Linked DNA regions of Rattus norvegicus. The protein of the gene in region 1 interacts with the protein of each later gene in a biochemical or structural test. Links are inferred from orthologs where the notes say so. Each region holds a gene or a part of one and is shown in the gene's direction. Other genes may lie near its edges.

Evidence for each region. The genes of interacting proteins can lie anywhere in the genome.
Region 2: the proteins of Ptpn11 (region 1) and Pecam1 form a complex in vitro, tested with the Homo sapiens proteins (4 studies listed by BioGRID, with this or other methods). The link is inferred for Rattus norvegicus from reciprocal best matches to the Homo sapiens genes PTPN11 and PECAM1.

Annotation. Positions count from the first base shown.
Region 1 is NC_086030.1:41,024,562-41,028,312, forward strand, and holds the start of Ptpn11 (tyrosine-protein phosphatase non-receptor type 11), read left to right. Parts: upstream 1-1,517; 5' UTR 1,518-1,693; coding exon 1,694-1,707; intron 1,708-3,751. UniProt on the Homo sapiens protein: Acts downstream of various receptor and cytoplasmic protein tyrosine kinases to participate in the signal transduction from the cell surface to the nucleus. Positively regulates MAPK signal transduction pathway. Dephosphorylates GAB1, ARHGAP35 and EGFR.
Region 2 is NC_086028.1:92,131,323-92,134,973, reverse strand, and holds part of Pecam1 (platelet endothelial cell adhesion molecule precursor), read left to right. Parts: intron 1-277; coding exon 278-571; intron 572-2,875; coding exon 2,876-3,178; intron 3,179-3,651. UniProt on the Homo sapiens protein: Cell adhesion molecule which is required for leukocyte transendothelial migration (TEM) under most inflammatory conditions.

The DNA of each region.
Region 1 (3,751 bases):
AGATTATCTTATCTTAAAGATTTATTTATTATATATAAGTAGCTGTCTTCAGACACACCAGAAGAGGGCGTCAGATCCCATTACAGATGGTTGAGCCACCATGTGGTTGCTGGGATTTGAACTCAAGACCTCTGGAAGAGCAGTCAGTGCTCTTAACCGCCGAGCCATCTCTCCAGCCCCCTAGTTTATCTTACCTGCTGTTCCATCTATGTAGCTCCCAGTATATCAGTTTTATAATTTTACACTTCATTAAGATGCAGCTGTTCATGAAAACCTGCATTTATCTAACAGAGACCCCACCCCAACCCCCAGAGTAGTGCACTGGTACTAACAAATTTGGACATTCAAAAGAGAAGTTATGGAGTGTTTCTTTGAAGTGGAAAAGGTCAAATTTCTTAATTTAGAAAAAGAATCGGGGGTTGGGGATTTAGCTCAGTGGTAGAGCGCTTGCCTAGGAAGCACAAGGCCCTGGGTTCGGTCCCCAGCTCCGAAAAAAAGAACCAAAAAAAAAAAAAAAAAAAAAAAAGAACCAAAAAAAAAAAAAAAAGAAAAAGAATCACTTGTCAGGATTGCTAATCCCAATATGGGTGAAACGGCAAAAAGAGAAGAAAACCGTGCTCATCTTACTTCAAGCTGTCGAAGTATGGCCATGGCATATAGGTTTCTGTTCTCAAAAACAAACAACTCCCCCTCCCCACCCCCCAAAAAAAATCAACGGGAGGCTGGTTAGATGGCTCTGCAGTAAAGAACGCTGTTTTATCAGAGGTCGTGGGTTTTGCTCCTAGCACCCACATGGTGGCTCACTGCCATGTAACTCTATCAGGGACTGTTGTCCTCTTCAGACCTCCTTGGGCATCAGACACACACACACAGTTACACACATACTTACACGCAAGGCGACTACTAATACACTAACATTAAAAAAATATAAAAAGCAATAAATCTTTTTTTTTTCTTTCTCTTTTTGACAGGGTCTCCCTACTTAGCTGTCCTGGAACTCCCAATACAGACTAGGCTGGCCTCGATCTCACAGTGATCCACCTGCCTCTGCCTCCCTAGTGCTGGGATTAAAGGGTACACCACCTTGTGAGGCAAAAGGAATAAATCATCAAACATTATCTATAAATGTGTGGGTATGTGCACGTGCCCGCGGAGGATGGCGGATCCGGTAGAACTGAAGTTACAGGAGGTTGTGGGCTGCCCCATACAGGTGCTGGGAACCGAACTCGGGTTCCCCCATCCTCCGCTTATTTGTTTGCTTTTCACGTGTGCACCCGCACTGGATGCGTAGTGTGTACTCGCACTAATGTGCGGCGTCCCAGATGAAGAATCTCCCTGGCGTTCAAGTCTGTAAACCGCACAGATTAGGAGGAGGAGGCCCCCCTCCCCAACCTCCAGCACTGGTCAGGGCCCTGCAAACCGGAAGCAGAAAGTGGCTGTGGCGGCGGGCGTGATGACTTCACGTCGGCGCCGGCGGCAAGGGGCGGGGACGAGGGCGGAGCGAGCCGGGCGGCGGGGCGGCCGCGCAGTGTCCGGGATCCAGGCCTGCCAGGGGTTGTGCGCGCGGCCGGCCGGCTCTGCCCGCTCCCGTGTCGGCTCCCGAGCGGGGCCTCACTCGGCCCCCTCCATGTGACGGCGCCTCGTGGAGCCTGAGTGAGCAGCGGGTCCGTGCGGAGCCGGAGGCGGGAGGAACATGACATCCCGGAGGTGAGCCGCCCGCAGGAGCCGGGCCGCGGCCTGGGTCCCCGCCGCTTCTGTGTTGCGCGGCCGCTGGGGGTTACACTCGGACTCCCCACTGGCGCGGCGTCCCCGCCGCCCCACCGCCCCGCCCGCGGGTCCCCATTCATTTCCTGCCGCCCCGAGTTCCTGCTCCCGCGACTCGGGATGCCCGTGGGGACACCCGCGGCCCGGCCGGCCGTCGCATTCCTGACCCATTGCCTCATGAGCGTCGCCTCCTGGGGATTCCGAAATAACCCCGCGCGCTCGGGGAGGCGCCCGGGCCACCGCGGGGCCTTCACACGGGACCCTTTCAGGTGCCCCCTTTTCGCCTCCTCACCCTCGCCCCAAGTGCCAGAAGTGGGAAAACTGAATCTGTCTGCAGCCTCTGGGAGTGTTCCCAACCCCACTGTGATCTTTGCTTTGAAAGGTGGGAGGGAAGGGAACTGTATCTGGTCGTGGAATTGTTCCTTCGGGTAACGAGTGCGTTCCCGTCTTACGAATGTGGAAACTGAGGCTCGGAAGTAAAGTGCTCGTCACAGGATAGGATTGGAAGCTGAGATCAGGAGGAGGATTAGTGAGTTTCAACTTCAGAGACTCAATTATTGACATTGACTTCGCTCTTACTAGAAGCCAGCTTAACACGTACCGCAGTGGTACGAGGTGGGTGGTGGTCTCCCTTTCTAAACATGGACCAAATTGAGTTTTCCAGAATTAAGTACATTGTGGCCTTTTACCTTGGTAAGAGGTGGAAAGAGAATCTCTCATTGTGTTGCCCAGGTTAGCCTCCAACTTACATTCCCGTTACCTCTCAACCTTGTAAGTGCTGGGGTTATACAGTCTGGATCACTATAAAAGCTTGTTTTATTTAGTTTTAAAATCAGCTTTATTGAGATAAGTTGCTTCTGATCCGGCAGACAACATGATAAACCTTGACATCTGGGAGATGTCACCACTCCTGGTAAGGTTTTCTCAGCTCTCTCTTACCAGTCCTCTGCTCTCCTTCGACCACTGTTTGGTTGTTACTTTTCTAGAATTTTGTATTAATGACATTAGACAACTATGGACTGTTTTTTTTTGGGGGGGGTGTCCTGATTTTTATTATTGAAAGTTTTTTTTAACATGTATTTATTCATTGTGTGTGGACCCAAGGCATGGTATGCATTTGTAGGTCGGAAATTGATACATGGAGATTGGCTCTCACTACCACACAGGTTCCAGGGATTGAACTCAGGTTGTCAGGCTTGGCGACACGTGCCGCCACACCCCGGCGTAGCGTACAGCGTCCACGTTCACAGATCCATCCATATTGCTAGAGTTCTATTACTCGGCTGCTGCCAATTGTATAGCGTTCCCATTGTAGGGCTGTTTCCTTTTTTACCCTTTCTGACAGACCTTTGGCTGTCTCTAGAATTTGTCACTCACATGTGATTCTGAGAATGCTCCTGCAAAGGCCTCAGTATGGTCTCACCTCTTCGGTGGCCATCTACAAGTTGAATGGCTGAATTTACTGTGTACAGGCACTTGCAGCCTGCCCACAGAAGGGCTGTCACTGTTTACTTTCCAGTCTTACTCTGTGAGGGCTGCATACAGCTTGTCTGTATCTTTGAGTTCTGATTTCCTAGTTTTATAAAGATCTGTTTTGATTTTGCATGTATAGGTAGCTTGCAAGCATGTGAATGCATGTGTATGCCTCATTCCTGGGGTCAGTAATTGATTACTGTGTGAAGTGTGGGTTCCTGCTCTCTATTCCATGGGGCTCTCCAGTTGTCCCAGCACAGCTGCTGGGGAACCTCTCCACAGGTAGAGTCTGCTCCATTGTTGAAGGATACTTGTCCTTCATGTGAGTTTGTTTCTTGACTCGGTTCTCTTCCATGGATTTTTCTGTATCTTCACGTCAGTCCCGAATGGTCTTGGTTCTTTCTTTCTTTTTTTTTTTTTTATGTTTTTTTGTTTAATATTGTGTGTGCACGCACAGAGGTCCGAGGAATGTGTCAGAGCCCTTGGACTTGTAGTTAAAGGTGGTTTTAAGTTG
Region 2 (3,651 bases), on another chromosome or scaffold:
TGTGTGTGTGGTGTGTGTATGTATATGTGTGGTGTGGTATATATATGTATGTGTTATGTATGGTATAGTATGTGTATGTGGTATGTGTCTATATATGTGTGTGGACGTGTGTGGTGTATGTGTGTGCTGTGTGTGGACGTGTGTGTAGTATGTATATGTGTAGGGTGTGTGGATGTGTGTGTGGTGTGGTGTGTGTGTTGTGTGCGTGGGTTTGTATCCCTCTAGACCATGCTGTTTCTGAGGTAACGGTGTCTGCCATCCTTCTGCTTTGCCTCAGCTTTCACCATTAACAGCATCCATATGGAAAGTCGGCCCTCCTGGGAGGTATCGAATGGGCAGAAACTGACCCTGCAGTGCCTTGTCGATATCAGCACCACCTCGAAATCTAGGCCTCAGCACCAGGTGCTATTCTATAAGGACGATGCGCTGGTGTACAACGTCTCCTCCAGTGAGCACACAGAGAGCTTCGTCATTCCTCAGTCTCGGGTCTTCCACGCCGGGAAGTACAAATGCACCGTGATACTGAACAGCAAGGAAAAAACCACAATTGAGTACCAGCTGACGGTGAACGGTGAGTCCGGAGGCTTGGACGGTGCGAGCCGGTCATGCTGTCACGGTGACGCCAGTCACACTGGTTTCCCTCTCCCTTACTCTCCACCTTTCCTGCTCACTACCTGCCATCAGGACCTGGAACTGCAGGCTTTAGAAACTCCCTCTGTGTGAGGGCAGAACATCCTCCTTAGGGATGGTGTCCGGGCCTTGGGAACACCTTTCCCCATCCTCCTTAACAGACTACACTTTATTCTCCCAACACTGTCTCTGAAACAGTCTCCCCACCGCCCGGGCTGGCTTCAGTCTCCTGCGCATGCGCTAGTGTTAAGGGCGAGCGGCTCCATGACTCGCTACTGGGTTTCTTCTAGCACTTTCTCAACAGAGTTGATTTCTTCCAAGGCACCAACCCTTACAGTGTTTATGCCCCTCTGTGACAATGACAGACCGCAGGCTGTGCCACATGAGGCAGGCCTCGGTGGCGCACACCTTTAATCCCAGCACTCCAAAGGCAGAGGCAGGTAGAACTCTGTGAGTTCAAGATAACCTGGTCTACCGAGTGAGTTCTAGGATAACCAGGCTACACAGAAAAACCCAGTCTGGAAAAACAGAAGAAACCCCACTAGACTGCAGTCTCTCTGCCTGAGTCACCATCTGGACAAGTCCGGTAGCCGCTCTAAACTTCAGGACCCACAGAGGTACCTGGGAGGTTAAAGTTATTGCGGTCAAACCCGAGAAGTGGCGTTCAATCCCCTGGACCCCGTGGTAGAAGGAGAGGACTGACTCGTATAGTGAGTGTCCTGTGACCTACACACCTACACCATAGTACTCTTGGGACCACACACAACACCAAACAAATATTAAGTAAAATGTAGCAAGAACATTAAGTTCTGGAATCCTCATGAGTGGAGTGAAGTAGTCAGTCGGGGATTTGGAGTGCTTAAACAGCTTCTGGCCCATTGGTGTACAACTGCATGAGGTAAAGACTTCAGTCAGTGGTGAACAATACAGACCATAGTAGGCCATGGGGCAAGCCACTAGGTAACCTAGAGACGTTATGCTATCTTAGTCTGGGTAAACTTACTCTCTTCCCGGGATGACGTCACCCCACAGAGCATTTCCCAGGCTGTGTCTTAGTTGTTATGAAACATGTTTCCCCAAACACCCATCTGCTCTTTTGGGCTATAAAATCTCAGAGATTAAATTCGGCCTATTTCCAGATGGGCAGAGGTTGTTGAAAAACACGCGCCTTTAAACCCAGCACTCAGGAGGCAGAAGCAGGTGGGTCTTTGTGAGTCTGAGGCCAGCCTGGTCTACAAAGCAAGGCCCCAGGGCAGCCAGGGCTACACAGAGAAACCCTGTCTCAAAACAAAGAACAACAACTGGCCTATTTTTTATATTTTGGGTGAAGACTGAGGCTTGTAGTGGGCATTAAATAAATTACAACAGAGGCCAGGGATAGCTCAATCTGTAAAAGGCTTTCCATTCTAACAGAAGACATGAGTGTGCAGATCCCCAGTACCCATGTCCTGGGATGCCTGCAATCCTACAACTGGGGATGCAGACAGACAGGAGGATGCTTGGGGTTTTGGCCATTCAGCTTGATTGAATTAGTGAAATACAAGTTCAGTTCAGTGAGAGATCTATCTGAGGAAGATGCCCAATATTGGCCTGTGACCTCCACATGGAGGTGCGTGCGCGCACACACACACACACACACACACACACACACACACACACACACACACACGGGGGGGGGGCAGTGAAAGATTCATGACGCTTTTTTTTTACTTTTGAGACAGAGTCTCACTCCGTAGCCCTGGTTGTCCTGGAGCTCACCAGGTAGAACAGGCTGGCCTTGAACTCAGATCTGCCTGTTTCTAAGAACAAGGATGAAAGGTGTGCATCACCACACCTGGGATTTTCCGAAGGGGATTGCAAATCCTTGAGAACACCATTGTGTTATATTTTTAAACCATACCGTACAGTGCCAGGCACACGGATGCCCAGTGATCACCTGAGGTAGGTAGGGCTGACTTTAAAGGGTCCTAATATCGTTCAGCCACAGTGACAGATGAGGGAGATGGGCCATTAAGAGGAACTGATCCTGGGCTGGAGAGATGGCTCAGTGGTTAAGAGCACTGACTGCTCTTCCAGAGGTCCTGAGTTCAAATCCCAGCAACCACATGGTGGCTCCCAACCATCTGTAATGGGATCTGATGCCCTCTTCAAGATAGCAACAGTGTACTTATATAACTAAAATAAATAAATCTTAAAAAAAAAAAAAGAGGAACTTATCCTAACTGCACTTTCTCATTTTCCAAAGGTGTACCCATGCCTGAGGTGACCGTGGACAAAAAGGAGGTGACAGAAGGTGGGATTGTGACAGTCAATTGCTCCATGCAAGAAGAAAAGCCACCAATATATTTTAAAATTGAAAAAGTGGAACTGGGGACAAAGAACGTCAAGCTAAGTAGAGAGAAGACCTCCAACATGAACTTTGTGCTCATAGAATTCCCCATCGAGGAGCAAGACCACCTGTTAGTGTTTCGCTGCCAAGCTGGCGTCCTGTCCGGAATCAAAATGCAGACCTCAGAATTCATCCGGAGTGAATACGTCACTGTGCAGGGTCAGAATCCTGCCCTCTCTACCCTCCTTTGTGATGACAGGTTGCATGTAGCAAAAAGGAGCCCGGAATTAGAGAAGCTGGCCTCCTTTTGGGGTGCCTGCTCTCATAATTATAAGTTTGGTAGCACAGACTAATCCCAGCCCTGGTGAGGTTCCGGCAGGGGGACCGGGGATTCAAGACTAACCTTCAGCTATGAGATTCTTTTCTCCCCATGAGCCAAATAAATAAATGTCATTAATTGGAAAGAATAAGTAGGGGACGGGAATGACTGGGTGTGATGGTGCAGGCCTACAATCCCACTTACTCAGGATGCTGAGGCAGGGGGATTGAAAGTCCAAGGCTAGCCTCGGCTATAGAACAAGTTCAAGGGAAGTCTGGGCAATTTGGTGAGACCATCTCTCAGTGTAAAAATGAAAGAGGACTAGAGACACAAATATGGGTGAAACGTTGACCAGCATTTGGGACAACCTAAA